Linked DNA regions of Astyanax mexicanus. The main gene of each other region encodes a partner of the protein of the gene in region 4 in a complex. Links are inferred from orthologs where the notes say so. Each region holds a gene or a part of one and is shown on either strand. Other genes may lie near its edges. The genes, in order: lin52, lin9, e2f4 and mybl2b.

Region 1 (7,906 bases), on a different chromosome or scaffold from region 4:
AGAGCCCACCAACAAACTCAGAAATCAAACACTAGATTAATGAAGTGTGGAAGACATTTCACTTTCCATTTTTTTTGTTTTTTGTTTACTTAAAAAAACAAAATATTTTTTTTTGTAAGAATCACAGTTTTTTGTCTACTTAACTTTAGATTTATAACTGAATGAAGAATTTTTTATGCTGAATTAGAAGCAAAACACCCCTGTCCCTTACTAGTGTGGAATAATGCACCTTATAGTGTAAAAATAGATGGATATTCATTAAGCCCTTGATATAATTAAATAGCTCCCGTCCAGTTCAAGGATTTTTTGGACTTTAAATATGAAAAACTACATTTTAGATGTTTTAAAACTTCACAGTTTTAATTCCAATTCAGTTCCAACAATTATTTATGTTTTTTTAATCAGTTGCGCCATCTAGAGGCGAAAATCAGCACTGGCATTAATAAGTATAATATTTAAGGTTCTGCAAAGTGAGAGTGATGATTGTGTTCTGGTTTTTAGTTTAAATTAGATACTAATCTACTTACACTCCTCCAGGCCCAGCTGATACGCCAAGTTCTGTAGTCCTTTAACTTTTTCCATCAGGTTAGCTGTGGTCAGACTCCCCAGTTCTGAGACAGAACAAAAAAAGTTTGCAGTAAAACACAGTTATTAACACAATTATAAAGAGACAAAAATAAGGTGCAGTTTTTAGTCAAAGCAAAATATGAATAAACCTAATATTATGCATTGATGCTATTAAATCAAAATGTACCTTTCAGCATTTCAATGTCTTCTGATTCCAGTTCTGCCATCCACTTGGGTGGAGAGTTTGTGATTGGCTGAAGAAACAAAAAGACATCAGACAACTATATGGCGCACTGAATTTTAAGGCGCATTTTATGCAACACTAGTAAGGAACAGGGGTGTCACCATGCTTTCCTTCTAAATTAAAAGGTCTCACCCCTTTTTACACAGATTCCTCTCTTAAAAACTGTTTATTTGGGTAGATTTCCACTAAGGCTGAGTGCAGCAGCATTAGCATTAGCAGCTAGTGCTAGCCAGGGTTAGCAGCAGGCTACAGTTTGTTAATACTCACCTCTAAGTGGTGAAAGAGCTAGTGCCTAGTGCTGCAGTTAGCGGCTAATGCTAATGCTATTCCAGTCTCAGTGCTGGAGAACTAAACTGAATCTCCTGTATAACTCTGTACTTCAGTGGAGTGTCTTTACTGCTCCTTAATACCTGACTGATAGAATTCATACATAAGGAACCCCGGATTATAAGGAGCTCTGATGATTTTGAGAAAAATTAAAGCATTTTAAGCGCACCTAATAGTGTGGAAAAATACTAACAAGTAATGTAGAGCGACAATACTCACGTTTTTAAAGGTGGCTGCAAATTCTGAAACCCCTGGCACTGTTTTCAAACAAACATTAAAGAAGTAAATATGACAATACTTTCTACAGACCAGAAACATATTCAATCTCAGCATATCTTTAAAAAATATATAAATAAAAAAAAATGACAAAACATTTGTCATAATTCAGCAACTTACACTGCTCTGGCCAAAGGTCAGGTGATGCTCGGTCAAGCTTTTCATAGCTCAGCAAAGAGGACTCAAAGTCCTCACCTATAAAAAAAAAAGGTGGAGAAAATTTAACTGTGAAACAAGAGGTGCACCATATATTCAGTAACTCAAATTATTACTAAATGCTGTGAAATGAATCAAAACCTGTAAAAAAAAAAAAAAAACATGTTGGTTTTCTACATTCATCCATATATTTCATTTTGTTGGTTCTGGCAACTTATTTTGTGTTATTGTAAATATCATAGTGAGATCATTTTCTCACTTCAAATCACTGTCTGATATTTTTCCAATTATCATACAAACTTTAATATCCGAAAAACATAACCTGAGTAAACATTAATAAAAAGCACCGGCAAGAGTGATTTAACCAAGTTATTACATTTAGGGTGAAATACTTTTTCACACAGGGCCTGATTAGTTTGGATAGTTTTTTTCCTATAAAATGCTCGTTTAAAAGAGCTTTTTATATTAACTCAGGTTATATTTGTCTGATATTAAAGTATATGGTTTAGACATGTTGACGCTTTTATATAATTTCTTTGATCCAGTAAGCTATAAATGACTGTAAATATAATCTACATTGATCTAGATAGCAAGAATCAGACTCAAGCGTGGAATGATTTCTGATCATCTGGACTAGAATCCAGAAACAAATAATTTATATTAATAAATTAACAATTAATATTAATTTATATAATTAATATGTTTTACTTTGTCTCTCCAAAGTCTGTCTCCAAAAGTGCCTAAACTCAACAGACTACATATTTACTGACTAAATATTAATACTCTTCACGTTTTAACAAGATCCAGACATTTAAATACCTTTTAAACATCATGGTCAGCTGTTTCTATAGTTTTTAGAGATGGAAGACATAATCGTTGACTAATCGACTAATCGAAAAAATAATAATCAGATTAGTCGACTACCAAAATAATCATTAGTTGCAGCCCTAGTACACATTATAAACATAACAAAAGAAAAATATGTATCCTGCGCCTGTTTCACTTCGTGTTTTTAAACACAGTAACGTGGAACAACAGTATTTAGTCGCTTATTTAGAAGAATAATTTACAGGTGAACCCGGTGTTTAGGGCTCCGTTAGAGCAGGGTAACGCTCGCTAACACACAGCCGGGCTGAGGGTCGCTGTCCCGGTGTAAAGGTGAAGGAGCGCTCGGTCGGTCTGTAGGTAAACAGTCCGTTAGCAGGACCTCCGCGCCGCGGAGCTCCGCTCACCGAGTACCGACCAGCACCTCACACACCCCGACCATCTCACACACACACCACCCCGCATTACAGCCCCGCAATAACCCCGCAAACTCATCCCCGCACAGGAATTAAATTTTACCTCCATTCGGAGACGCCATCTTCACAACCACACACGTGACCTCCTGTAGCCAATCGTTAGTGAGATGTGAAGCGACTGACGTGGGTCGTTCCGCCTCTTGTGACCTACAGACTTCCGGGAAATGTAGTCTCACATTTAAACACATATTTTAATCATTTAGATAAACAAAAATAAGTGTATAAATTTTTTTTCAGCTCATATATAATTTTGATTCGATTTGGAAATTGTTTTAAACAATTTTTGTTATTTAAATTTTCACTTACTTGTGTATTTTGATATTTAAGATCTTAAATTTTAGTTGCAGATTTTATTTTTGGATTTAGTTTTTTGTCCCTGATTTGGCTCCATAAGTGATCGGTATCTGTGTATAATGTGAACACAGAATCTGTTCCTGAATCGTCTCACATGCTGCACATTGATACCTGTATAAACGCCTTCTTCTTCACCAACAACAAAAACCCTCATATTAGAGAGACAAGAGACTCGTAGCTTTATAAAGGGTTATAGATGTAGAGTTTGCAGCTCATATGTGGAGCATCTTTTGCTGGAGTGGAGAGTAAACAGCTGCTCTGAAGTTCATGCTCAGGTCCAGGAAATGAAAAAAGGACAGGCGGTTTGCTTTTGCTTTGTGATTTGGAAAAATTGGATTTGGCATGTTCACACAGCCATACAACCATGATTTTTGTGACTTGCTAACTACAATATACCTTCCTAAAAGTCTGATGTGTTTCCACAATATAATCAGTACCAGCGAGAAATAGAACATGACAGAACATTCTTAAAAACACTTTAATTTTTTTTACACAGTAAAACCTCCCATTTCACATCAATCCAAAGATCACATCAATCCAACTAAAACAATACTGCTATTTGCTTCTTGCTTTCTAGAATCCATAACTAACACTTTAACACTTACAAGATTTATAATTTCAGTCAGAAAATGATAGTGAATTTTAACACTCTAATACTCCGTCTTACTCCATTTAATTCACTATTTAAACACTTCATTTAAAAGGCACTTTTTATTTTGATTGTTTACTTAAGTCAAAACAAAAAAATAATAATAAAAGTACCGCAAAATATGTAAATAATGATTATGTAGTGTTTCAGAACACTGATCACATTCTAATTTACCTTTATCTAATGTAATGTAATAAATGAAATGATGTGGACCACTAGTTATATTAACCAGGCCAATATGCAGTGTACTGAACAAAAAAAAAAAAACGAAAAAAGATTTAACACAATAAAACAAGCACAAAACACATAGTTTTGAGTAAAACTGGAGTTGAATACTTAAAGGGTGAAATGTAACACACTAAGTTTTAGCAGCTCAATAGTGAATAAACTAATAACTTCACAACAAACAAACAAACTAAACAAAACGATCCCCTGATATTTTTATTTCTTTTAAAATTCCCAGGAGTCCAGCCACCGGAGTCCGGCCATGGAGGAGGAGGGATCATGAGCTAACGGCCCCCTCATGCCATAGGAGAGAGGGTGGAACAGATAGAAGCTGCAAATAGAGGGAAAAAAAAACAAAGATTAATGGAAAAAAAAAGAACAGAAAAAAATAGACTAAATAATATACGAGTAACAGCCATTATAAAACTTTTTCGTATTTTTTGCACTTAAAATCCTTTAATTTTCCCAAAAATCATCAGAGCTGCTTATGTATGAATTCTAACAAAAAATACAGCATATTAACTTTTCAATTAAATGGCCCAGAATTATAAAATATATAACAATCTTTTATTAATGTAACTTAAAGATTTTTTAAGTTTAACACAAGTTAAAGGATTTATTTTGCCTTCACAGATATTTTGTAAGAACTGTGACGATCATAAAGCCTGCTGTCGCTCTCACCTGTAGAGGATGCCGACCAGGAGAACCGTCTGACCCCCTCTTAGAATATACTTTGAATACGGTGGTCTACATAGAAGGTCAACATTCTGTAGAAATGTGTCCAGTGTTATTCCTTTAAATAGAAGAAGAAAAAAAATCACAAATTTTGTTCACAAGTTTGTGTTTGGTATTAAAACATTTATGAATGGTACAGGGTTTTAAAATGCAGAACAACACAGAAGAATATTATCACATAAACCACTACTATTCTGTTTGGAGGAGTATGTCCTCAGTTTTCTGTACCTGTAAGCATACTGCTGAAGAGCACAGCAGGGAAGTAGTGGTGGTAGTAGAGAATACGGCCCATGCTGTAGAAGGGCAGGTAGTGAAGCAGCCAGGCCAGGAACAGCATCCCACCACCTTCTAAAATAACCCGGCAATGTGCTGCAAAAACACCAAACAAACAAACACAGTAAAAACCTTAAACTAAGCAAATTCACATATCACAACACTAAATACATTTTTTAAAACAGTTAACTATTTAAAACAAAAGTCAATTTAAATATTTATTTTTCTGCACTTTTAAAGATAAAAATGATTACATTTTATGCACAGAGCACAAAACCATTTACTTCCTAGCTGGATTCAGAATGAATAAAACGAGAGCAAATATGGCTTTGGAGGAATAGGTGTGTTTAAAAAACAAAAAGTAAGAACTCATTTAAAAATAGATGTATACCTGTTAAATAATATTTGGAATAATTGTGAAAAAGATTTAAGAATGTGTAGAACATTTCCAATTAAAAAAAGAATGTTTAAAGCACACATAAATATGAGGAATGAACTACTATTAATGATGAGAGGATCTAATATGTTGATTAACACTGAACCACTATGAAGAGTTAACCGCCTACCTTTTCTCTCTCCCTCTAATTTAGCTCCTCTCTGTAAGGCCAAAGAGCACACAGACACCATGACAACAAACAGCCCCAGACTGAACAGGTTCAGCCACCAGATCACCTGTAGTAGAGAGAGAGAGTCAGGTCAGGTTCAGGTCATCATGCAGATTTCTGCCGATTCACTTGCATTTAAATATCAGCCTTATTAAATGTGTTAAAGGTTTCACTCCACTAAAATCCTCTTGTTCTTGTTCTTTATGAAATACAGCAGGTCTCTCTGAGTTGTTTATAATGCTGCACATGATGAAACTCTTCCTCAACCTCTTCCTCATTGTCTGCAGCAGCTAGTAAAAGAAAATATTCCGAAAAATGAGTCGATCAGGAAAAGCACCGTGTCTACATCAACCTGTGAATTAGTATTCATGGCCCCGCCCACCTCGGCTCGGGACCGCCCACAGGCAGAGCTCAAGCCAGGCAGCAACGCCGTCTCGTCAGATAGGAGGAGCTAACAGCACTAGGAACAGCATGTAGTTCATTCCTGTGTTATTTGTGCGAATAACACATCAGTGTTTATATACTTTACCCAGTAATTCAGAGCTAAGAAACAAATGGTTAGAATTAGTCTATGGAGGAAAGACACCACCAGCCAAGTACAATTGAGATAAGTAGGTGTATATTTAGAATAGTTCTGTTTCCACTAGTTAAAAGTAAAAATATACCCCGGGTGGATTTTTACTTTCTGGACCTAAACTACCCACCTCTGTGTGTAAGTATCTATAGGTTTAAATAGGATCTCCGGTGGATTTGGTGTTTTACAGAGACTCTAAGACTAGGTCAGTGGCTGAACTGCACTTAGCAGGGCATTATTACACATGTTGTAAAGTAACATATGACATTGCAAAGACTGTTATTAGTGTAAAAAATCTCTTTATTTTAAAACATTTCTAACTTACAAGTATCTTGGTCATTAAAAACTGAAAAAATAAGGACATGGACAGAACTAGACTCACAGGGTTCCCCAGCAGATACACTCGGTACTCCGTCTCATTCACTCCAGAAAACCTTAAACCCTAAACACACAGTAACAAAGAATAAATTTTAGATTATTTCCACAATAAAAGTCAGTTGTTATATTCCTCTGAGGTGAACCTACCTGATAGTTGATGGGCCAGTGCCAAGGTTTAGAGTTCACCTCATTGTCCTTAGGTTTTAAGCCACTGTTACCCTGTTAGAAAAACAATAAAACTGCCTCAGCACACAAAACACTTTATTAAAACTTCATCAAATGTGACCGATAATTTTCTGGGCTCATCTTACCCTGATCATGACAATATGAGACTCCAGCAGAATCTCCAGGAAGGAAGGTTTGAGCACATGCAGACTGATGTTGGGCACTAGATAAAGAGAAAGAAAAGTATAATAAAGAATCAAAAAGAAATTGGATATGTTGGTTAAGTTGCAAGAACTTACAATTGGGGTTGATGTGATCCTCAATGTTCCACTGGGAATTGGGAGTTTCCTTTAAATATGGACTACAAGTGACCTCCACCTGCTCCCAGCCCCTTTAAAACATTACAAAGATAAAACATTTTTATTTTTTCAATGTTTGTGACCTTTCTGTCACAAACTCTTTAGTGTTTTCCTAAAATATCTGAACATAACTGCTATTCCTAATCCCAGACAGATGCTTCACAAAAGAATTTTTCAGTTTAGCAGATAAGTAAATCCAAATGTCAAATCTGTAAAGAGATGTTCCTACTGGACAGACCTTAAATTTGCACCATTATGTAGCAACTGTAGTTTAAAACAACTGTTTAGTGGTCAGATCTGCTGAATTAAAAGGAAAACATGGCGACATCCCTGTTTCTTACTAGTGTTGTATAATGTGCCTTATAATCCGGTGCACCTTTTAGTGCAGAAAATACAGTAATTCTTCTTTAAGCTGTAGTAATTCTAACTAAATGTTGTAAATCTGATCTTTTCCTCCTCAGCACCATTTTTAATGCACTCACCACTTTGGGAGGGTTTTTCCTGAGGAAAACAGCACACAGCCAGTGGAGCGATGCAGGAAGCGGACTTTACTGCGCAGGACCTTCACCGGATCACCTTTCTTCCCCCCACACACCTCCACCTGCCACAGGTCATTGAGGTCCCCTGTACCGTTCTGAAAGAGATTAAACATGCCAAGTGACTAATAATGAAGAAAATGTCCAGACCAATGTCTGAACCATGGTTAATGTATTAGTTA
Region 2 (7,940 bases), on a different chromosome or scaffold from region 4:
CAGGACATTAGCAACTATGTATGGAGAGAAGGGCTGGAGTGAGAAGAGACCATGGCTTTTAAAAACAATAGGGTTGAGATCAGTTTGATTTAATAATGGATTTGTATTAGTGTTATCAAATATGTGACCAGCTGCAGCAAAGTGAGAGTTAAAAACCTGACAGAGTTCCTTCTGATCTGAGATCAGCTGATCATCCACTAAAGCCCTGGTACGAAAGGGATTGGAGTTCTTTTTAAGGGAATTTACATTTTTCCAGAAGTTCTGGGGGTTTGTGGAGTTGGAGATTAAGCTAAGGTAGTATTCTGATTGAACTGGGTTGAACTGTAGACTGTATATAATAATATTACAGTCTGTAAGGGGGTTTGAACTGTAGGCTGTATATAATAATATTACAGTCTGTAAGGGGGGTTGAACTGTAGGCTGTATATAATAATAATAATAATAATACAGTCTGTAAGGGGGGTTGAACTGTAGGCTGTATATTATAATAATAATACAGTCTGTAAGGGGGGTTGAACTGTAGGCTGTATATTATAATAATATTACAGTCTGTAAGGGGGTTTGAACTGTAGGCTGTATATTATAATAATATTACAGTCTGTAAGGGGGGTTGAACTGTAGACTGTATATAATAATAATAATACTGTAAGGGGGGTTGAGCTGTAGGCTGTATATTATAATAATATTACAGTCTGTAAGGGGGTTTGAACTGTAGGCTGTATATTATAATAATATTACAGTCTGTAAGGGGGGTTGAACTGTAGGCTGTATATTATAATAATATTACAGTCTGTAAGGGGGGTTGAACTGTAGGCTGTATATTATAATAATATTACAGTCTGTAAGGGGGTTTGAACTGTAGGCTGTATATTATAATAATAATACAGTCTGTAAGGGGGGTTGAAATGTAGGCTGTATATTATAATAATATTACAGTCTGTAAGGGGGTTTGAACTGTAGGCTGTATATTATAATAATATTACAGTCTGTAAGGGGGGTTGAACTGTAGACTGTATATAATAATAATAATACTGTAAGGGGGGTTGAGCTGTAGGCTGTATATTATAATAATATTACAGTCTGTAAGGGGGTTTGAACTGTAGGCTGTATATTATAATAATATTACAGTCTGTAAGGGGGGTTGAACTGTAGGCTGTATATTATAATAATATTACAGTCTGTAAGGGGGTTTGAACTGTAGGCTGTATATTATAATAATATTACAGTCTGTAAGGGGGTTTGAACTGTAGGCTGTATATAATAATAATAATATTACAGCCTGTAAGGAGGTTTGAACTGTAGGCTGTATATTATAATAATATTACAGTCTGTAAGGGGGGTTGAACTGTAGGCTGTATATAATAATAATAATACAGTCTGTAAGGGGGTTTGAACTGTAGGCTGTATATAATAATAATAATACAGTCTGTAAGGGGGTTTGAACTGTAGGCTGTATATTATAATAATATTACAGTCTGTAAGGGGGTTTGAACTGTAGGCTGTATATAATAATATTACAGTCTGTAAGGGGGTTTGAACTGTAGGCTGTATATTATAATAATATTACAGTCTGTAAGGGGGGTTGAACTGTAGGCTGTATATAATAATAATAATACAGTCTGTAAGGGGGTTTGAACTGTAGGCTGTATATAATAATAATAATACAGTCTGTAAGGGGGTTTGAACTGTAGGCTGTATATTATAATAATATTACAGTCTGTAAGGGGGTTTGAACTGTAGGCTGTATATTATAATAATATTACAGTCTGTAAGGGGGTTTGAACTGTAGGCTGTATATTATAATAATATTACAGTCTGTAAGGGGGTTTGAACTGTAGGCTGTATATTATAATAATATTACAGTCTGTAAGGGGGTTTGAACTGTAGGCTGTATATTATAATAATATTACAGTCTGTAAGGGGGTTTGAACTGTAGGCTGTATATTATAATAATATTACAGTCTGTAAGGGGGTTTGAACTGTAGGCTGTATATTATAATAATATTACAGTCTGTAAGGGGGTTTGAACTGTAGGCTGTATATAATAATAATAATATTACAGCCTGTAAGGAGGTTTGAACTGTAGGCTGTATATTATAATAATATTACAGTCTGTAAGGGGGGTTGAACTGTAGGCTGTATATAATAATAATAATACAGTCTGTAAGGGGGTTTGAACTGTAGGCTGTATATAATAATAATAATACAGTCTGTAAGGGGGTTTGAACTGTAGGCTGTATATTATAATAATATTACAGTCTGTAAGGGGGTTTGAACTGTAGGCTGTATATTATAATAATATTACAGTCTGTAAGGGGGTTTGAACTGTAGGCTGTATATTATAATAATATTACAGTCTGTAAGGGGGTTTGAACTGTAGGCTGTATATAATAATAATATTACAGTCTGTAAGGGGGTTTGAACTGTAGGCTGTATATAATAATAATAATACAGTCTGTAAGGGGGTTTGAACTGTAGGCTGTATATTATAATAATATTACAGTCTGTAAGGGGGTTTGAACTGTAGGCTGTATATAATAATAATATTACAGTCTGTAAGGGGGTTTGAACTGTAGGCTGTATATTATAATAATATTACAGTCTGTAAGGGGGTTTGAACTGTAGGCTGTATATTATAATAATATTACAGTCTGTAAGGGGGGTTGAACTGTAGGCTGTATATAATAATAATATTACAGTCTGTAAGGGGGTTTTAACTGTAGGCTGTATATTATAATAATATTACAGTCTGTAAGGGGGTTTGAACTGTAGGCTGTATATAATAATATTACAGTCTGTAAGGGGGTTTGAACTGTAGGCTGTATATAATAATAATAATAATACAGTCTGTAAGGGGGTTTGAACTGTAGGCTGTATATAATAATAATATTACAGTCTGTAAGGGGGTTTGAACTGTAGGCTGTATATTATAATAATATTACAGTCTGTAAGGGGGTTTGAACTGTAGGCTGTATATTATAATAATATTACAGTCTGTAAGGGGGTTTGAACTGTAGGCTGTATATAATAATATTACAGTCTGTAAGGGGGTTTGAACTGTAGGCTGTATATAATAATATTACAGTCTGTAAGGGGGGTTGAACTGTAGGCTGTATATAATAATATTACAGTCTGTAAGGGGGTTTGAACTGTAGGCTGTATATAATAATATTACAGTCTGTAAGGGGGTTTGAACTGTAGGCTGTATATAATAATAATAATACAGTCTGTAAGGGGGTTTGAACTGTAGGCTGTATATAATAATAATATTACAGTCTGTAAGGGGGTTTGAACTGTAGGCTGTATATTATAATAATATTACAGTCTGTAAGGGGGTTTGAACTGTAGGCTGTATATAATAATATTACAGTCTGTAAGGGGGTTTGAACTGTAGGCTGTATATAATAATAATAATACAGTCTGTAAGGGGGTTTGAACTGTAGGCTGTATATTATAATAATATTACAGTCTGTAAGGGGGTTTGAACTGTAGGCTGTATATTATAATAATATTACAGTCTGTAAGGGGGTTTGAACTGTAGGCTGTATATTATAATAATATTACAGTCTGTAAGGGGGTTTGAACTGTAGGCTGTATATTATAATAATACAGTCTGTAAGGGGGTTTGAACTGTAGGCTGTATATTATAATAATATTACAGTCTGTAAGGGGGTTTGAACTGTAGGCTGTATATAATAATATTACAGTCTGTAAGGGGGTTTGAACTGTAGGCTGTATATTATAATAATATTACAGTCTGTAAGGGGGTTTGAACTGTAGGCTGTATATTATAATAATATTACAGTCTGTAAGGGGGTTTGAGCTGTAGGCTGTATATTATAATAATATTACAGTCTGTAAGGGGGTTTGAACTGTAGGCTGTATATTATAATAATATTACAGTCTGTAAGGGGGTTTGAACTGTAGGCTGTATATTATAATAATATTACAGTCTGTAAGGGGGTTTGAACTGTAGGCTGTATATAATAATATTACAGTCTGTAAGGGGGTTTGAACTGTAGGCTGTATATAATAATAATATTACAGTCTGTAAGGGGGTTTGAACTGTAGGCTGTATATTATAATAATATTACAGTCTGTAAGGGGGTTTGAACTGTAGGCTGTATATTATAATAATATTACAGTCTGTAAGGGGGTTTGAACTGTAGGCTGTATATAATAATATTACAGTCTGTAAGGGGGTTTGAACTGTAGGCTGTATATAATAATATTACAGTCTGTAAGGGGGTTTGAACTGTAGGCTGTATATTATAATAATATTACAGTCTGTAAGGGGGTTTGAACTGTAGGCTGTATATTATAATAATATTACAGTCTGTAAGGGGGTTTGAACTGTAGGCTGTATATTATAATAATATTACAGTCTGTAAGGGGGTTTGAACTGTAGGCTGTATATAATAATATTACAGTCTGTAAGGGGGTTTGAACTGTAGGCTGTATATTATAATAATATTACAGTCTGTAAGGGGGTTTGAACTGTAGGCTGTATATTATAATAATATTACAGTCTGTAAGGGGGTTTGAACTGTAGGCTGTATATTATAATAATATTACAGTCTGTAAGGGGGTTTGAACTGTAGGCTGTATATTATAATAATATTACAGTCTGTAAGGGGGTTTGAACTGTAGGCTGTATATTATAATAATATTACAGTCTGTAAGGGGGTTTGAACTGTAGGCTGTATATTATAATAATATTACAGTCTGTAAGGGGGTTTGAACTGTAGGCTGTATATTATAATAATATTACAGTCTGTAAGGGGGTTTGAACTGTAGGCTGTATATTATAATAATATTACAGTCTGTAAGGGGGTTTGAACTGTAGGCTGTATATTATAATAATATTACAGTCTGTAAGGGGGTTTGAACGGCCCTCTCCTGAGTCTCTGTCCCAGAATGCTTCGCGTCATTCGGGCTTTGAAAAGCGGCGCGGCTCCTTCAAGATGGCGGAGCTGGAGCAGCTGCTGGACGAGAGTGAGTAGTAAACCCGGGCTCTGCTGTGGTCTACAGACCGCGTTTCAGACTATCTTGCGGGCGGTTTGTGATTATAAGCGGTTGGGGGCTTGTTGAGGTCTGTGTCGGGCTGTGAAGGCGCCGGGTCTCTGAGCTGTAGTAACTTCACCTCAGTGCTAGTTAGCAGCGATGCTAACTGCTAGGTGCTAGCTGCTAGCCGGGCTAGCCCCGGCTCAGAGCTATAAATAAAGCAGTTCAGCTGTACTTTCTCTCCGACCCGCCGGTAAACAGAGTGATTAGGACTCTCCCGGTGAGCGGAGCGGCTGCTCGGGGCTGGGAGGAGCTGGGAGCGGGGCTGGGTGTTTGTGTGTTTGAGAGCCGGGGGGCTGTGTGAGTTGATCCCGGTGTCTGAGGGGCTCTGTGTGTCTCTCTGATCTCCGCAGGTCGGTGACAGCTGCTGCTGCTCGGCTGTGTAGCTAAAGCTCTTTATCAGGGGGTCACTCTCAGCTGAATACAGATAAACAGAGATAATGGTGCTCCTAACTGCTCTTAGATTCCTTGTTCTCTCACTAAAGCTCTTTATAAAGCGCTGTTTTTCACCTACACTGCTGTAGGGTCTCGTCTGTAGGTTACGCTTTAGTTTGTTAGTTACGTTAGCTGTGGCCGGTGTTATGGCAAATTGTGCTACCTTGTCAAATCGTGCTACTCTATTTAACTCCAACAATACAAAAGAAGCACCATATTAGAGCATTTTTTTCAGTAGCTGTAGCTAGTTAGTATATTTGGATAGCATAAATTACTGTATCATGGTAACATTATGGCAATGAGAGGTCTTTTAAAATCTGCTTTTGTATATGTATTTTCTTTAATAATAATTATTGTATGTATTATTCATTTCCATTTACACTATTGTGCAATGAAAGTTAGTCCAGGTTGTTTAATGCACAAAAACTCCAAACAGATTTATAATGAAACACGAATTTTTATTTTCTAATAAGATCTATTATATGTATTATTAATTTCCATTTACACTTTTGTACAATGAAGGTGAGTCCAGGTTGTTAAATGCACAGAAAAAAACAGATTTATAATAAAAAAAAACAGGAGAAATATACATATATTTAAATAACAAGTATTATTATGTATTATTAATTTCCATTAGGTCAGCGCATGCGTAGTGTATTTAAGAAGCATGTTTCGATGAGTAGCGCATCTCGACGGAACACCCCCGGTTGTTTTCTGGGCTGTTAGCTCTGGAGTATCAGTGTAGCTACTCTGTGTCTCTCTGTTTTTATAATGTTAGCTAACGTTACTGTGTGCTGGAAGTCTTGGCTGTGCTAAAATCAGCTCGAAATCAAACTGTGCGAGCCGTTATTAGTCACAGTATAGGTTTATTTCTTACTACAGGTTGTTAGAGGAGCAGCTGGCACACCTTACAAACACACACAGCCGCCTGTCCTCCTCATAAAGGGTCCATTTACTTTACAGCAGCGCTGTAGCTACAACACCCAGCCTACAGGTCTGACCAGCTAGCTTATTAGACCTGTTAAGAGGGTAGTAGTAGTAATAAGAAATTAATAACAATAGTGCTAATAATAATAATGCTAGCCAATATTTACATTTTTACTATGTAATCCTATTAGATTATATTTATGTCTCAGAGTAAGAGGATTTACTTCAAATGACAAGTAAAACCGACAAGTAAAAAGTAAAAACTGAGATGCCCAATAATATTGTAATTGTAATTATAGATCACTTAAAAAAAAGAAGACAAAAACAGAATCTAATAATTTAACATGCTGCGAACATATATTTAATATCTTTGCTGAACATAGTAGGTAAAGCTATATGCAAAAATGAAGGTTTCCAAGTTCTAATTGTCTTTTTTTTGTTTGTTTTGTTTAATGCATAACTCCAGTTTATCATAATTATGAAATGTGCTATGCAGAAATTATGGCATTTTATTTTATTTCTTCCCAATTAATGGTAACATTTTATTCCAGAAATATTTTTGCGTCTAAGGGATTTAAAACAGTAAACCCATCCCCTGAAGTTCATCAGGTATTAGGTGCTAATTTATCTAGTCAGTTTGCCAAAACCTTGAGTTCCAAACATGATTCAAAAATGATATAGCACCTTAATATCAGGTGCTAAATTTAATTGCCCGTTCTAGTGTTTATATGTTTAGCTGTAAACATGTATCAGATTTTAAAATCTTGTTCTACAGATCACTGTTTATTTTTCCTGTTTAGAGAATTTCTTTTTTTTCCCCCTATTTTATTTACAGGCTCTTCAGCGAAAGCTCTTGTCAGTCTTAAAGGTAATTGCACTTAAAGGTTTAATATTTCTAAGCAGCTGCATACATATGCAAATGCAAATAAAGTAATTATATTAAATATGTGATTACTGTTATTCAGTTAACTGCACATTCCTCTTTGCGGTTATATGTCTTTGTAGAAGGAAGTTTGTCAAACACTTTAAATGAGAAAAACAACCTACCAAAATCTCAGAACACCAGGGGAAGGAGCAGCTACACGTCTATGGAAACGGTAAGTGGCTTGTCCGGTTGCTTGTTTAAATAGAAATAGACTAAGTTTTATTTGCCTGATTATTTAAGGTACACTTAGATGACCAGGCAGACGTACCATAATGAGTCCTGTTTCTTGTATGTGGAGCTGATGTGCGTGCATGCATGCTGATTCAGGGAAAGATTGTTTACATTACAGGCATGTTCCACTTACATATATAGATATTAATCGTCAAGTTGGCCAAATCTGATCTGAGTTTAAAGAAAAACAAATTGATTTGAGATTTAACATGAACATAGTCTTTGGTTATATTTATGTGGTTGATAAATTATATAGATTAATGTGTGCATATTTGTGGTTTGGTATGCATGTCTCAGTTTTGTTGTCTTGTTTTGTTTGTTCTGGATATATTTAAATACCCATATTTGTACTTGAAGT
Region 3 (7,384 bases), on a different chromosome or scaffold from region 4:
GGTTGGATTTGCTGTTTTGAAATTTCATGACTTTTCCAGGTTTTCATGACTGTACGAACCCTGCGGTTACCTACCGTGTTTACGCTAGGAGTGGGCGATATGGATCAAAACCTATATCTCAATATTTTTTTTCTGAATTGCGATATACGATATATATTTTGATATGTTTTCATCCCATAAGGTAATATCAAAAAGATATTTAATATATATATATATATATATATTTTGTTCGATATTATTTCCGATTTTAGGGTCACGATTCCATTCGATTCTCGATTTTCTTTTTTCTTTTTTTTACAGCAGAGAGGCCTATGCCAGTTTTAGATTAGTCTATGGTCAGTCATTGGTTTGATTCATCAAATTAACAATAGCTTATTTCAAAAGGTGGGCTTGATATAAGTGATGCAAAGTGATCTGTAATACACCACATTAGGCACTAAAGGTCAAATTTAAATAAATTAATTAAGATATATATGTAATGCAATCTATTGGCTTTTTTTTGGTAGCAGCAGTGTGCAATATTAAAACAGCAATGTGCAACAAAAAAATAAATAATAAACAAATACAGGAATGTACAAAATAATAGAACAATTAGAGCCTTAACAATCTGAACTCTATCCTATTATAAAAGTTAAACATGAAAAATAAGACTCGGTCTCTGAATGCGGTATTTTCGCAATATTTATTGTGAAATAACGCACTCAGCTCCCTCGCCCAGGAAGAAGGAGGGGGAGGTTTAAGTTGAGCAGCAGGAATATGGAAGCGGTGAGGGAATACAGCGATTTTAAAGGAATAAAATCAATGATATTAACATTAATGTATCTTAATATAACGGCAGCCCTGTGGAGTGTGGATTATTAGGAATGTTGTCTAATTTGTGTGGTTAGTTTATTACAATGGAGACACGGCCTTTTTAATACTTCTGTCGTCACAATTATTCCACAGGTCCTGATATATTTGGGAGAACCGGCTTGGTGGTAAAAGAATGCAGCACACTTCTCCCTTATTGGCAGAACTAACAACATCTCTGCTGTTCAGAAGCTAAGATGCACAACACAAAGCCAATGTTTATGCCGTTTTTATTGATTAATACCCTATATTTGATACTTACAATAAATCCAAATTTAAAAGTAATGTAATTAAATGTATTTTTTTACTTGTGGTATTTATTTCTTTATTGTGTTTTAAGTATTTGTATATGTACCTTGGAAAAAGTATGTTGTGAATTTTAAAATATTACTTATCTAAACAAGGAAACCAATTGGTCATTCATTATTAAGTGAAATGTCTTGTTTTCCCTTGTGTCTTATTAATTGCTCTTTAACCAAGCAAAAACGTTTTATCCGATTACTCGATTAATCACATAAATTTGTAGTAGAGTACTCTATTACAAAAATAATCGATAGCTGCAGCCCTATTATCACAGATCATTGGCACCTAGTCCTGATAGTATAGCGCATGTGTGTGTGCGGCACTCACTTAACAGGACAATACGATGTGTAAATTCAAAATAAAGGCCCTTTAAATTATAACAAAAATAATATTTTACTCTGAATTTAAACTTTTTAAAAGGAATCCATCTGCTAACTAAGATAAGTTCTACCCAGTCCTGATAGTACAGCACTTTGAGTCACACACTTAAAAATAGGACAATATGATGTGTAAATGTAAAATAAAGATCATTTAAAGTATAACAATTATTACATTCCAAAAAGCCTTCATATTAACAGGTGGATTGTCTTTAATAACAGTCTAAATATTAAGTCAAAATAGTTATAATTGAATGGGCCTTTATATTGTCTGTATATTGTCCCGTTATTAAGTGAGTGACATATACAAATGGTGTACTACAGGACTACGTGAAATTGATCTGCGATATCATATTCCTTATAATACAGGTCTAAACCTAGATTAAAATAACAATTGTTATAATTTGACGGGCCTTTATTTTGAAATGACATCATAATGTCCTGTTGTCCCAATGCCCCAACGCGGCGGCTACTTTGACCAAGTATGTGGAAGTGGAGGCTGGCTTGACCGCAGTACAGGATCAGTAACCCCCAGTTCCACCACATAACAATAATAATAATAATAATAATAATAATAATAATAATAATAATAATAATAATAATAATAATAATAATAATCTCACTATGGCTAATTAACTAGATAACTAATAAAGGCAACATACGGCAACTCATGACACATAGTCAGCTCTGCAATGCTGAGGCGCGCAACTAACTGGCTGTTTTCATTCTCTCCAAGTGCCGTCAAACAGGCCGAGACTAACTTTCGAACAACTTTATTAAAAGATTCACAACTGAAACAAAAACTCCACGATTCTGAGCAGGGAAGAGGAGTAAGACAAGCTGTAAAAGCATTACAAAAGTTTCCACGGTAAATGCACACGATGAGCTAGCTAGCTAACGCTAACCAACAACGTGCTAACTGGGGTCCGATCTCAAGCACCCCCGTGTTCCCTTCTTAACTAGTGTACTAACAAGTAACGGAAGGTTTGGCAATCAATAATGAGGTCTATGAGGGAATGGTAAGCCCATTTTTTAAAGATACGATGCACTACTTTCCCCAGAGAAGCCGATATATTATGAGCTGTGCAGCGCCCTACACAAGGAGCACGGAACCATTTGAGACACGGACAATATGTCATGCTTACGGCTTTGAGGTCCAGCACTCCATCCTTCGCCTCCTGCAGCAGGGTAACAAACTTGGTGGTTAATAGTCCGAGGCTTTTCTCGTGGCGGCTCGGCGTCGCCGGCTGCAAAGGTTCCCCCATCGCTCCCAGTTCGTTCCGCCCTGAGTCAAATTCCATCCAAGTTCTGGTGCTGCTTAATGTCGGCGGTTTGTCTCTGTGAGTCTGTCATATATCTGTGAGTAAGTCGATTGCTTCTCTTCAGTCCAGCAGTGTGCGAAACATGGAGTGGAAATTCGAGTTTAACACGGGTCGGGTCCAGTCCAGTCCAGTCCAGGACACGGATCCGGATCCGGAGCTCCAAGTGATCGCGTAGCTACACACACACCGACTGCACTACTTGAATGACTGAAGCCGTTAAAACGCAGTGCATCATGGGAGATGAAAAGAAGACATTATTGCAGCGTGTGGAAGTTCCTTTAGGAGGCGACAAAACAGCGAGTTCACCGCATGGGCTTTTAACCTTCCTCTAGTGTTACTATTGCTTATGTTAACGGGTCGGTTTTGACCCATGTCTTAAATCAGCCCTAAGATACCCTAAAAACAATTATTTATGATCCAATTTGTTTATCACCTCTTAGTTACCTTGTTAGGGTTGATCATCCATGAAAGGTTTGATTTTAAAAAATTTTTTTGGGGCCCCCTGGGCCCTTCATTTGAGAGCATACCCCTGATTTTCAATATAAAAATATTGCCAAATGAACCTCAAGAGAATAATAAAACTTTAAAAAAGGTTGATATATTCCCTGACTATTACTGAAGGGTTTTAGAACACATTTCTTAAATGTAAAAAATAAATACATGTATATGTTTTATAATATTAACTCTAGTAACATCTATGGTGTTACAGGTCAATTTTAACCAATATATAAAATACTTTAAGAAAAAGGCAAAGAACAGAAATGTTTTTTATAGATAATAATAATAATAATAAAATGGAAATTTTCAAGGTCAAACAAACAACCAATCAAGCAAATCAAACCAACAGAAATCAAGTTCTAGTTTTTAGGTGCGTTAGTATTGTTAGAGGCATGTGTGGCAAAAAGTGAAACTTTTTGTGTGTTCTTTGCAGAAGTATTTTTTGCAGGTGAAGCACAATGTATTTGTCTTTCTGTCCTTATTGCTAGGGCAGACCTGAAATTTCTTTATTTTTGAATCAGATGGTCACTCTGGGGTTGTGGCTGTTGTGGCTGATGTTGAATGCATTGTGTGCAGACACATCAAGGATGTTGTAAAATACAAACATTGACCCTCTTCTCGTTATTGGCTAGCAAGTGTAGGTGGCAGTCAGCTTGTCCATGGTGTCCACTGCTCCTTTGTTTTTGTTATAGTCCAGGATGATTCTGGGCTTTTTGTCACGAAAGGAAGCAGGAACGGGAGCAGCTTTAGCACTGATGTCCTCCTCATCAGACTGATCACGTGTCTGTGTCTTCCAGTCGATAATCCACATCATCTTCCTCCTCAGAAACCTGCTCATCGTTAGCAACTGCCTAGCAACCACTTAGCAACACCTTAGCAACCACCTGGAAAACGTTAGCAACTGCCTAGCAACCACTTAGCAACCACTTTAGAAATGATAGCAACTGCCTAGCAACCAGTTAGCAACACCTTAGCAACCACCTGGAAAACGTTAGCAACTGCCTAGGAACCACTAAGCAACCACTTTAGAAATGATAGCAACTGCCTAGCAACCAGTTAGCAACACATTAGCAACCACATGGAAAACGTTAGCAACTGCCTAGCAACCACTTAGCAACCACTTCAGAAATGATAGCAACTGCCTAGTAACCACGTGGAATACATTAGCAACTGCCTAGCAACCACTTAGCAACCACTTCAGAAATGATAGCAACTGCCTAACAACCACTTAGCAACCACATGGAAAACTTTAGCAACTGCCTAGCAACCACTTAGCAACCACTTTAGAAATGATAGCAACTGCCTAGCAACCAGTTAGCAACCACTTAGCAACCACATAGAAAATGTTAGCAACTGCCCAGCAACCACTTAGCAACCACTTTAGAAATGATAGCAATTGCCTAGCAACCAGTTAGCAACACCTTAGCAACCACATGGAAAACGTTAGCAACTGCCTAGCAACCACTTAGCAACCACTTTAGAAATGATAGCAACTGCCTAGCAACCAGTTAGCAACCACTTAGCAACCACATAGAAAACGTTAGCAACTGCCCAGCAACCACTTAGCAACCACTTTAGAAATGATAGCAATTGCCTAGCAACCAGTTAGCAACACCTTAGCAACCACATGGAAAACGTTAGCAACTGCCTAGCAACCACTTAGCAATCATTTTAGAAATGATAGCAACTGCCTAGCAACCAGTTAGCAACACCTTAGCAACCACCTGGAAAATGTTAGCAACTGCCTAGCAACAGCTTAGCAACCACTTTAGAAATGACAGCAACTGCCTAGCAACCACTTAGTAACCACATGCAATACGTTAGCAACTGCCTAGCAACCACTTAGCAACCACTTTGGAAATGATAGCAACTGCCTAGCAACCAGTTAGTAACCACTTAGCAACCACATGGAAAACGTTAGCAACTGCCTAACAACCACTTAGCAACCACTTTAGAAATTATAGCAACTGCCTAGCAACCAGTTAGCAACACCTTAGCAATCACATGGAAATCGTTAGCAACTGCATAGCAACCACTTAGCAACCACTTTAGAAATGATAGCAACTGCCTAGCAACAAGTTAGCAACATCTTAGCAACCACCTGGAAAATGTTAGCAACTGCCTAGCAACACCTTAGCAACCACCTGGAAAACGTTAGCAACTGCCTAGCAACCAGTTAGCAACACCTTAGCAACCACCAGGAAAACGTTAGAAACTGCCTAGCAACAGCTTAGCAACCACTTTAGAAATGAAAGCAACTGCCTAGCAACCACTTAGCAACCACTTTAGAAATGATAGCAACTACCTAGCAACCACTTAGCAACACCTTAACAACCACTAGGAAAACGTTAGCAGCTGCCTAGCAACCACTTAGCAACCAACTGGAAAACGTTATCAACTGCATAGCAACCACTCTAGAAATGATAGCAACTGCCTAGCAACCACTTAGCAACCACTTTAAAAATGATAGTAACTACCTAGCAACCACTTAGCAACCACCTGGAAAACGTTAGCAACTGTTTAGAAACAGCTTGCAACCACTTTAGAAATGACAGCAACTGCCTAGCAACCACTTAGTAACCACGTGGAATATGTTAGCAACTGCCTAGCAACCACTTTAGAAATGATAGAAACTGCCTAGCAACCACTTATCAACCACTTAGCAACCACATGGAAAACGTTAGCAACTGCCTAGCAACCACTTTAGAAACACCTTAGCAACCGCATAGCAACACCTTAGCAACCACATAGCAACCACCTAGCAACACCTTAGCAACCACCCCAGATACCATAGCAACACCTTAGCAACCACCTAGCAACACCTTAGCAACCACCTAGCAACACCTTAGCAGCCACCCTGGATACCATAGCAACACCCTAGCAACCACCTAGCAACACCTTAGCAACCACCCCAGGTACCATAGCAACACCTTAGCAACCGCATAGCAACACCTTAGCAACCACCTAGCAACCACCTAGCAACACCTTAGCAACCACCCTGGATACCATAGCAACACCTTAGCAACCGCATAGCAACACCTTAGCAACCACCTAGCAACCACCTAGCAACACCCTAGCAACCACCTAGCAACAGCTTAGCAACCACCCCAGATACCATAGCAACACCTTAGCAACCACCTAGCAACAGCTTAGCAACCACCCCGGATACCATAGCAACACCTTAGCAACAACCTAGCAACACCCTAGCAACCACCTAGCAACCACCTGGTATATGTTAGCAATTGCCAAGCAACCAGTTAGCAACAGCTTAGCAACCACCTGGAAAACATTAGCAACCGCCTAGCAACACATTAGCAATCAAAAGTTTAACCAAAAGTTTTACGATTTCAGCATTTAAACAAGCATTTTTAGATTTCAGCGTTTAACCAAACGTTTTTAGATTTCAGCGTTTAATCAAACGTTTTTAGATTTCAGCGTTTAACCAAATGTTTTTAGATTTCAGCGTTTAACCAAACGTTTTTTAGATTTCAGCGTTTTTGGCATTTAGCGTTTAGCCAAAAGTTAACAGCATATCAATGACTCTTCATACTCTTCAGACGGAAAAAGCTTAGCAACTATTTTAACTTTTTAACGTTATTAGTGTTCTTTTCCAAGCCAACTTAAAGTTCGTTCAAGAACTTTACCTTTTCTAGTTCTACTTATTATTCTATTCGCGAAATTTAATCGACTACTCCTCCTACAGCTTTTGACGTAGAATGACAAAATTTTACAGTATCGTAGGACCTATACCCGATTAGGTTGCTTATGCTTTTTGAAGCGATATATCGTATGGTTTTCGTAAAAACTTCGTAAACGTGCGCCTTTTTTCCCATAGACAATGAACTAGGAGAATTTTGAATAGCCGTGTACGGCACAATTTTTGAGATACGAAGACCAAATTCGGAGGGCTTATAGATCTTGTCGAGATCTTTAAATTAATAAAATGATACGTTGTACGGTTTTCGTACAAATGTCGTACGAAGTTTCCCCATAGAAATGAATGTGGGGCCCAGAATTCCATCTTGCACACAAGCA
Region 4 (7,380 bases):
CTGAACCAGCGTTCGCAGATTATCATCCTGGAAAACAAACAGAAAACACTCAGATATGTAGTACATGTATACTGAGAAAGAAAGCTAATATTACCATACTCTACTATGCTTGCTTAGCTTATACTCAGACAGCTCTTGTTTTACAGCAAGACAAACAGTACAAACAGTACTATATGTACAAAGCAGGCAGGCTTCCCTTCCAACATCTAATTTGAAAATTCGTATTTCATGTGTTGAATATACTGATCAGTGTGGCTGGTTGGATCATAAACAGACACATTAACTATATCGATAGGAGGTGGATCCTTATGTTTGTGTGAAACGTTGCTTATCAGGAAAAAACATAAATAAATTGTTAGATTTTTATTCACAGCAAATATGTTTTTAGATCATGTTTGTGTTAAATGTCTGTAATCGGATCATAAACAGCAACAGCAAATTAGTTATGTGTTGGCTCTTAATGTTTAGGTTAAATATTGTTTAATAGATTATAAACAGCCACACGAAACTTAGCTGTTAGGTATTGGATATTTACGTTTTTTTAAATGTTGCTGATCAGACCATGAACGTAAACAGCAAATTAATTGTTAGGTTGTGGGTTGTGTATCTTCAGATTTGGGTTAAATACTGAAGACCAGATCATAAACTGCCACAGAATCTTAGTTGTAGGATCAATTTGTTTTGCTTTTATTTTACTGATTGGATGATAAACGTGTAGAGTAGCTACGTTGTTAGGTGTTGGATATTTATGTCTGTGTTAAATGTTGCTAATCTAATCGCGCACAGAAACAGCTACAGTAACTTAGTTATCTGTTGGAACTTAATATCTGTATTAATTGATCAGCTCATAACCAGAAACAACAAATTAACTGTTCGGGTCGTAAACGGCCGCAGTAGCTACGCTGTTAGGCATCGGACCTTGTTGTTGTTGTGTTAAATATCGGTGATCAGACCATAAACAGCCACAGCAACTCAGTTATGGTTGAAATCTTAACACTTGGTCAAACATTATTGATTGGATCATAAACATGGGTTAGATACACATTAGATTTGAAATCTTCATGTGTGTATTAAATATTGTTAATCGGATGATAACGTTTGTTGTATATGTTGCCGATCGGGTCATAAACAGCCAGAGCAACTTAGTTGTGTGTTGGAACTTAAAGTTTGTCTTTAACATTGCTGGTTACAGCAAATTAGCTGTTATGTGGTGGATCTTAACAATTGTGTTAAATGTTGCTACAGTAACTAAGTTTTGTGGCCGTTGGATCTCCCATTAATGCTCTCGACTTTTAGCCATACAGGCTAATTTACCTCTTCCTGCGCCCACTTCACTTTAACTTTCCCGCAGTCCTTCTGGTCTGCTACATCAGAATCAGTGTCCTGACAATCTGGATCCTCTCTGCAAACATTTAAACAAACAGGAAATTCTTGTTAACAAGCTAACACGATGACCATGTGGTCATCAGCAGCAGTGTGCTGAGTTGTAGTGACATCATTAGAACTTGTAGTGTTTCTAGCTCATTCCTAGGAAAACCAGCTTGTCAGCTAGTACAAATGGCTGTGATTATGTAAACACTTGTCTAGCTAATTATAGAGTAGTAGAATTAACTAGCTAACAAGAAAGTGGGGGGTCTGCCCACGGAGCTTCATTATACAGGCAAAAACAAAGAGATATATTTCAAATGTGTCCTTCAACCACATTTAGGCCCAAGGAAATGTTTGTGTACATTTATCGAGTTTAAGATATTCAATTCCCTAAATGTTTTATAATGAAAAGAAATATTGTGGAGGTCTATTTTGGCCATCAATTACCTCATAAAAAAGTTTTTTTTGGTTATAGTTTCCTGTCTCTGGGCAACATTGCACAGTTACAGAACACATAAAGTGGATTGATATAAAAATGGCCTGATTTTTATTCTGAACAAATACAAATATAATGCAATAGATACAGAGGGTTAAAAGGTCATTGTTTTATCTACATTTCTTCCTACACACAAGACTAGCTAGGTTATATTTCGTGAAATGTGGTCTAAATTCAGGTACCAATGATGCTTTTAACTTTAAAAACAACATATTACTATGTAAAACTTTGTTTTATTTTGTAGGCAGTTAACTAGTTAGGAATCACAGTAACTTAACAACGTGAACAAAGTTATATAAATGCGTCTACAGTTACTTTGAACTTCATGCAAACAGATTGCAATAATTATAAACAGTCTACCTATAATAATGAGTTTTTTTTCTTGCTTACTTGCTTTAATGTAGGCAGTCCAAGTCCGAAAAATAGAACTCCGTTTCCAGGATTTCGTTCCAACAGCTTAGGCGGCTCCGCTGCAGCCGCGCTATACACAAAACTGCCCGGACAGTTAGAACGAAATCCTGGAAACGGAGTTCTACTTTCCGGACCTGGACTATCTACTTATATCTTGAATAAAATACAATAAAAAACAATGTAAAACAAATTTCATAAATATTAGAACAATTCTAAACTAGAGTAGATTGTTCAAAAGCCCAAATAAACGTATAATACAAATTCTTTTTTTTTAACAAATAAACAGTAAACTAGTTAGTTGTTATATTATTTAGGCGGGTCTCCAGTTCCCCTTGTTGTTTAGGTTGGCTAAACCTAAAGCTACAATTACAAACTCTGATTTCAACAATAGAGCCATGTCAAACTTTACCACCATCTAAAAGCTGTTTATTCATGATTTAAACATCATATTTTTAATTTTCCTCCAAAATACAGATCAGTAAATATGTGTTATCTGAGTTATTAACTTACCCGCGCGTCCTAGAAAAGGACATCTCCATCTCTAGGCGCGTTTATCCGAGATCCTCTGATCAAAACCCGCCAATTTCCTCTGATTCTGCGCTTCATGCAGTGAGATGCTTTAAATCCAGACTCTGTATTTAATTATTAAGGGCAGAAATGTTCTAAAACTTCTCGCTCGGACCCACAGCCTCTGGAGCACACAGGAGTCGCTCTGCTGCTACTGCTGCTGCTGCAGATCCGCAAACTAAAACTCCGCGCTTTTTTCGTATGGCTTTCCCGGGAGCGACGTCACGCGCATGCGCACCACCAAGACCCAGACAAGAGCACAAATGTAGGCAAATTATTAATAAATTAACCAGTATATTAATATGTAAAATATACATAAATATATCAGAAAATAGGTAATTGTTCCATTAAAATAACATTTTTTGCACAAAATTAATTACATGACGTATAGTTTTGTTTTTATTTTTAAATTTATTTTTTGTTTTTAAATTGCTCGTTTTGCATTTTTTTATTTTATCTTTTTATTAATATTTTGCATAAAGTAACTGCAGCAATGTTTGCGATCTTGTTTATTTTTTTGCCTGTTATGTTAATTTTTAAATAATGTAAAAAAGATAAATAACTAGCCAAAAATAAAAGAAAAATAGAAAAAAAATTGTAGCTGTGTGTGCGCTTTTGCATAGTTCTAGTAAGACTTTATTTAATGTTTTTAACGTTCAGTAAAAATCCAGTAAAAAAAAGCTATTTACAATTGTTTTATTAAAATAAAAATGATTACCTTGAAGTAAATTACGTGTTGTGTTTATATTTGCACAGGTTTAGTACAACTGTAATTTTTTTCTATTTAGTTTTTTAGTAAACCTTTTAGGTTTTTTTACTAATTCATTTGACTTTTTTATTAATAAAAATGATGGTATGTGTGTGCGATTTTGAATAATGCTTGTAAGATTTTTTTTAACCTTTTGTCTGTGTATGTGCATATTATTTTTTTTATTTATTAATTCCTTTTTTATTATCTGATGTTGCACGATTTTATTGAAGAAGTGTCAGAAAATATTTTTTCATAGGGGTTGGTAAATTTTTATTACTATTTACATTTTTTGCATTTTTTAATAAGACTTGTATCTGTGTGAAATGTTGCATACTGTATTTTACATTTGAAAATGAGCTATTTTTATTCAATATTGCTATTACATATATTCCATTTAACATTTTTGTTCATTTCTATTGTATTAACATTTTTTTTACTTTGAATAATACTTCAGTTATGTTATTTAAAAAAAAAGTTTATTTTAAGTTTATTTTAAATTTCAATCGTATTTGTCTGAAAAGTAATTTATAGAAATATATCTAAAATGTTTGATTAAAGATTCCAATAAAACTGAGCAGAAAAACGATGCAAGCCTATAAATACAAGCTGAGAGTGAGTGAGGCCTAATCTGCACAGGGATGGAGGAAGAGAGGGGTAGGCCTGGCAATATGGCTGTTCTGTTTAGATCAGTGCATGTGTTTACTGTGGCTGTTTCTCGGTTAGATTCATGATTGGAGTCTATTAAGCTCTTGTAACTCAAGAGTAGCACAATAAACAGTAATCTGGCTATATTAACTGGCTAGTATCCTTTCTGTTGGAGCAAGGATCTGGTAATCATTTTTAAAACATTAATTAGTTGGGGGGAATGCATTTAGGTAAAAGTTACTAAAAATATTTTTTGTGTCTAATGTTAAATTGGTTCAAAATTTAATAACAAAAGCACTGTGAAATAGCTAGTCAGTTATATAACTTGGCTGGGACAGGAAAAATGTGGTTATTTAAAGAGGTTTTTTGAATTACAATGTTAAATACTACTATTTAGCTCTTTAATATTACAATTTTAACCTAAAGAAGCCCATGGTGATTATAGCTATGTGCCACAGATACCTAAAAAAATCTTTACAGCACTTTATCCATTATTTTAATTCGTTTCAGAGTGATATATAACCCACTGAGCATATTAAAAGCAGTATCACCGGACCGTGTTTGAATGCATGTTATTTCATCTGACTTATTTGTCTGACCGTGCTGGAGATAAAACTAAGATAGTTCCTTTTTAAAGGAGTGTTTTTGCTTTTACAGTTTGGTTCAAAATGTTTTAACAATTCAAGTGCTTTGTTTTCATGTTTTATGTCCCATATACATAGTTTGGATTTGATTTTTTTTACACAAAATGGTTGAAACATAAGTCAGCATTATAAAGTGACCATCCATAGGTTTTTAGAGATTATGTGCAATGGCACTGAGCATGCTAGTTAGAACTGGTTGGTTATTTATCTAAAACCAGTACATACAGTACCAGCAAACATTTAGACACACCTCTTTACATTTAATGTCTTCTTTATTTATTTATTTATTTTTTGTGTAAACAGTGTTAAACAAACCAGAATATGATACATTTATCTTTGAGGACAGATCTGCACACTCTTGGTATTTTAATCTCAGCATCTTCATGAGGGAGAGTCACCTGGAATAGTTTTCTCAGTTTCTTGAAGTAGTTCCTGTAGGTGCTGAACAATAGTTGCTGATTTACCTTCACGCTGTGAAACTTCAGCTCATCCAAAATCACCTCAAATCTCCATCTCAGTTGATCAGGTTTAGATCAGTTTGTTGTGGAGGACAACCATTTGTTTTACTATTTACAATGTTATTCCATATTTATCCCTTAGTTGTTTTCACATGTTTATTATTAAACTACAATGTGGAAATAAAGAGAAAAAAAAAAAAACACTGACAAGGTATCCAAACTTTTGAATGGTACTGTAGATATTTTAAAATGTTTATTATTGGGACACACTAGCACCCCAATGTGTGAACTGTCCTCTCTCTCTCTTTTTAGACGGTGTGAAGACCTTTGAGGGCCTGTCTTTGTCAGGGTTGGACAGGGGCTTTGTCACAGATGGCAGTCTTTCTGCTTTGTCCATTCAGATGGATCCCTTCAAGCCACCCAAGGAGATTGTTGTAGAATATTCAGAGGCCGCTCCTGCTCTACCAGCTTCTTTTGATCACTCCTCTAATGTTTTGTCACCTTTAAATGTCCCCAGCAAGAGCTCTCTACTGTCTCCAAGCACCACCTTGACTGCTGGCCTGAATAATCTGGTAGCAGGCAAGTCCTCCACGCCTTACGAAAGGGTTAAATTCCTAAAGCCCATCCTGGTCAACTCGCTGGACCTGTCCTGCATTGATCTGACCACCTCCCACCCTTTATGGGAAGTCTCTCAAATCAGGCCTTCTGTGGAAAGCCCAAAGTTGTGCCTGGACTCCAGCAAGTTTGAGTCAACATGGAGCCCCAGTTATCAATCAGTTCCTCAAACGCTGGCAGAGATTTCCTCGCTGATCTGTTCGGGGACTCCGCCAGGCAAATCTGCCACGGAGGAGTATCTGAGGTCTACCTTCCAGGATTCCAATCTGCGCCATGCTGTTTTGGAGCTTGCAGAGGAACAGCAGAAAGGTCTGGCCAAAAACTTGGCTATCTAATTGTGTACTGATGTTGTAATGTTTTCTTTTAGGGGCACTATTGGAAACTATTAGCTATTAGCTGCCTGCTTGAAACTGTATTTAATGGCTGTATTACAACTGTATGTAATGTGTATTTTTGTACCTTAAAATAAACTGTGGTATTAATGCATTTAATTAAATTGTTATTCAAAGAACAATAAAAGAGGGAGACTTTATTGGAATTATAAACATTAAAGCATAGGTGTATATATAATGTGCACATGCAGAGGTGTCAAGTAACTAAGTTATCTGAACTTTCTACTTCTACTTCTTGCCATTTTAAAAATAGCCCTGTTACTCTTATTTCATTTCAGCTTCAGCATTCTGACTTCTCTTTATTAAAAAAAACATATCCAGATAGAGTGAGTCTGATTGTGATTGGATGAGAAGTATAAACATACCATTCCAAAACCCTTTTGATTTATATGCAATCCATCACATCTGCACACGTGTCCTATAGGACCCTTTGTCCTTTATGGCATCTTTTGTCTGCTTACAATACATTAACCTTTATACTTTAAGTAGTTTTGAATCCAATACTGTTACACTTTTACTTGAGTAAAAAGAGTTAATACTTCAACTTATACAGAATTAATCCCTACTATATATACATCTATCTGATTAATGAATGTGAATACTTTTGTGCACATGAGTACACTTTTCTATTGCACTTTGGGTTCACTGAGAATACGTAGAGTATGTACTGGAGGATTCAATTGTTTCAGTCCTGTAAGTTACAGGAGGCATAAAGTGCATTCCTACACTGCCTGGCCAACAAAAAAAAGTCTCCACCTGGATTTAAGTATGTAAGTGATGCTACAGTTGGTCAGGTCTAGGTGCAGCAACAGTATGTGCTGATAACAGTATATAGCTCTTGCTTCTCAGTCGACTTGACTAGTGTCAAACTAACTCTAGTGCTGAACTTCAGTAACATGTCTTAAATGACTTAATTCACTTTGTGTGGAAAGGAAAATTGTCTACATTGCACATCTTTAAACATTCAGAAGAACTGCAGCTTATTAGTCTTGCAAATCAGGCCGAAATGTTGTCCCTGGAATCCCGGATTTCC

Evidence for each region.
Region 1: the proteins of mybl2b (region 4) and lin52 are in contact, whole or in part, in a crystal structure (PDB 6C48), measured with the Homo sapiens proteins. The link is inferred for Astyanax mexicanus from reciprocal best matches to the Homo sapiens genes MYBL2 and LIN52. Residues at the interface, in NP_002457.1 of Homo sapiens: Trp663, Val666, Ala667, Gly669, Thr671, Asp673, Gln674, Phe676, Lys680, Ala681, Gln683, Leu684; in NP_001019845.2 of Homo sapiens: Gln84, Ala87, Tyr88, Gly91, Leu92, Glu94, Ser95, Met98, Thr99, Lys102, Phe103, Leu107, Glu108, Lys109.
Region 2: the proteins of mybl2b (region 4) and lin9 are in contact, whole or in part, in a crystal structure (PDB 6C48), measured with the Homo sapiens proteins. The link is inferred for Astyanax mexicanus from reciprocal best matches to the Homo sapiens genes MYBL2 and LIN9. Residues at the interface, in NP_002457.1 of Homo sapiens: Trp663, Ala667, Cys668, Gly669, Gln674, Met677, Gln678, Ala681, Arg682, Leu684, Leu685, Arg687; in NP_001353174.1 of Homo sapiens: Lys356, Gln385, Arg386, Tyr388, Ala389, Thr390, Val392, Leu393, Leu395, Glu396, Asn399, Leu402, Asn403, Leu406.
Region 3: mybl2b (region 4) and e2f4 share a complex: the UniProt entries of both Homo sapiens proteins name them as parts of the DREAM complex. The link is inferred for Astyanax mexicanus from reciprocal best matches to the Homo sapiens genes MYBL2 and E2F4.

The regions. Positions count from the first base shown.
Region 1 is NC_064421.1:48,536,524-48,544,429, reverse strand, and holds the start of lin52 (protein lin-52 homolog), read right to left. Parts: upstream 3,009-7,906; 5' UTR 2,934-3,008; coding exon 2,915-2,933; intron 1,610-2,914; coding exon 1,535-1,609; intron 1,396-1,534; coding exon 1,358-1,395; intron 822-1,357; coding exon 755-821; intron 612-754; coding exon 528-611; intron 1-527. Other genes in the region: pomt2 (protein O-mannosyl-transferase 2), read right to left, coding at 4,325-4,430, 4,781-4,892, 5,063-5,203, 5,674-5,779, 5,886-6,002, 6,669-6,728, 6,812-6,883, 6,976-7,052 and 2 more.
Region 2 is NC_064408.1:79,656,633-79,664,572, reverse strand, and holds the start of lin9 (protein lin-9 homolog), read left to right. Parts: upstream 1-4,919; 5' UTR 4,920-4,964; coding exon 4,965-4,995; intron 4,996-7,261; coding exon 7,262-7,294; intron 7,295-7,431; coding exon 7,432-7,523; intron 7,524-7,940. UniProt on the Homo sapiens protein: Acts as a tumor suppressor. Inhibits DNA synthesis. Its ability to inhibit oncogenic transformation is mediated through its association with RB1. Plays a role in the expression of genes required for the G1/S transition.
Region 3 is NC_064417.1:15,562,127-15,569,510, forward strand, and holds the start of e2f4 (transcription factor E2F4), read right to left. Parts: upstream 3,075-7,384; 5' UTR 2,831-3,074; coding exon 2,675-2,830; intron 1-2,674. UniProt on the Homo sapiens protein: Transcription activator that binds DNA cooperatively with DP proteins through the E2 recognition site, 5'-TTTC[CG]CGC-3' found in the promoter region of a number of genes whose products are involved in cell cycle regulation or in DNA replication.
Region 4 is NC_064431.1:7,420,305-7,427,684, reverse strand, and holds the start of mybl2b (v-myb avian myeloblastosis viral oncogene homolog-like 2b), read right to left. Parts: upstream 3,038-7,380; 5' UTR 2,815-3,037; coding exon 2,786-2,814; intron 1,403-2,785; coding exon 1,315-1,402; intron 28-1,314; coding exon 1-27. Other genes in the region: uncharacterized protein si:ch73-303b9.1, read left to right, coding at 4,232-4,247, 5,653-6,290. UniProt on the Homo sapiens protein: Transcription factor involved in the regulation of cell survival, proliferation, and differentiation. Transactivates the expression of the CLU gene.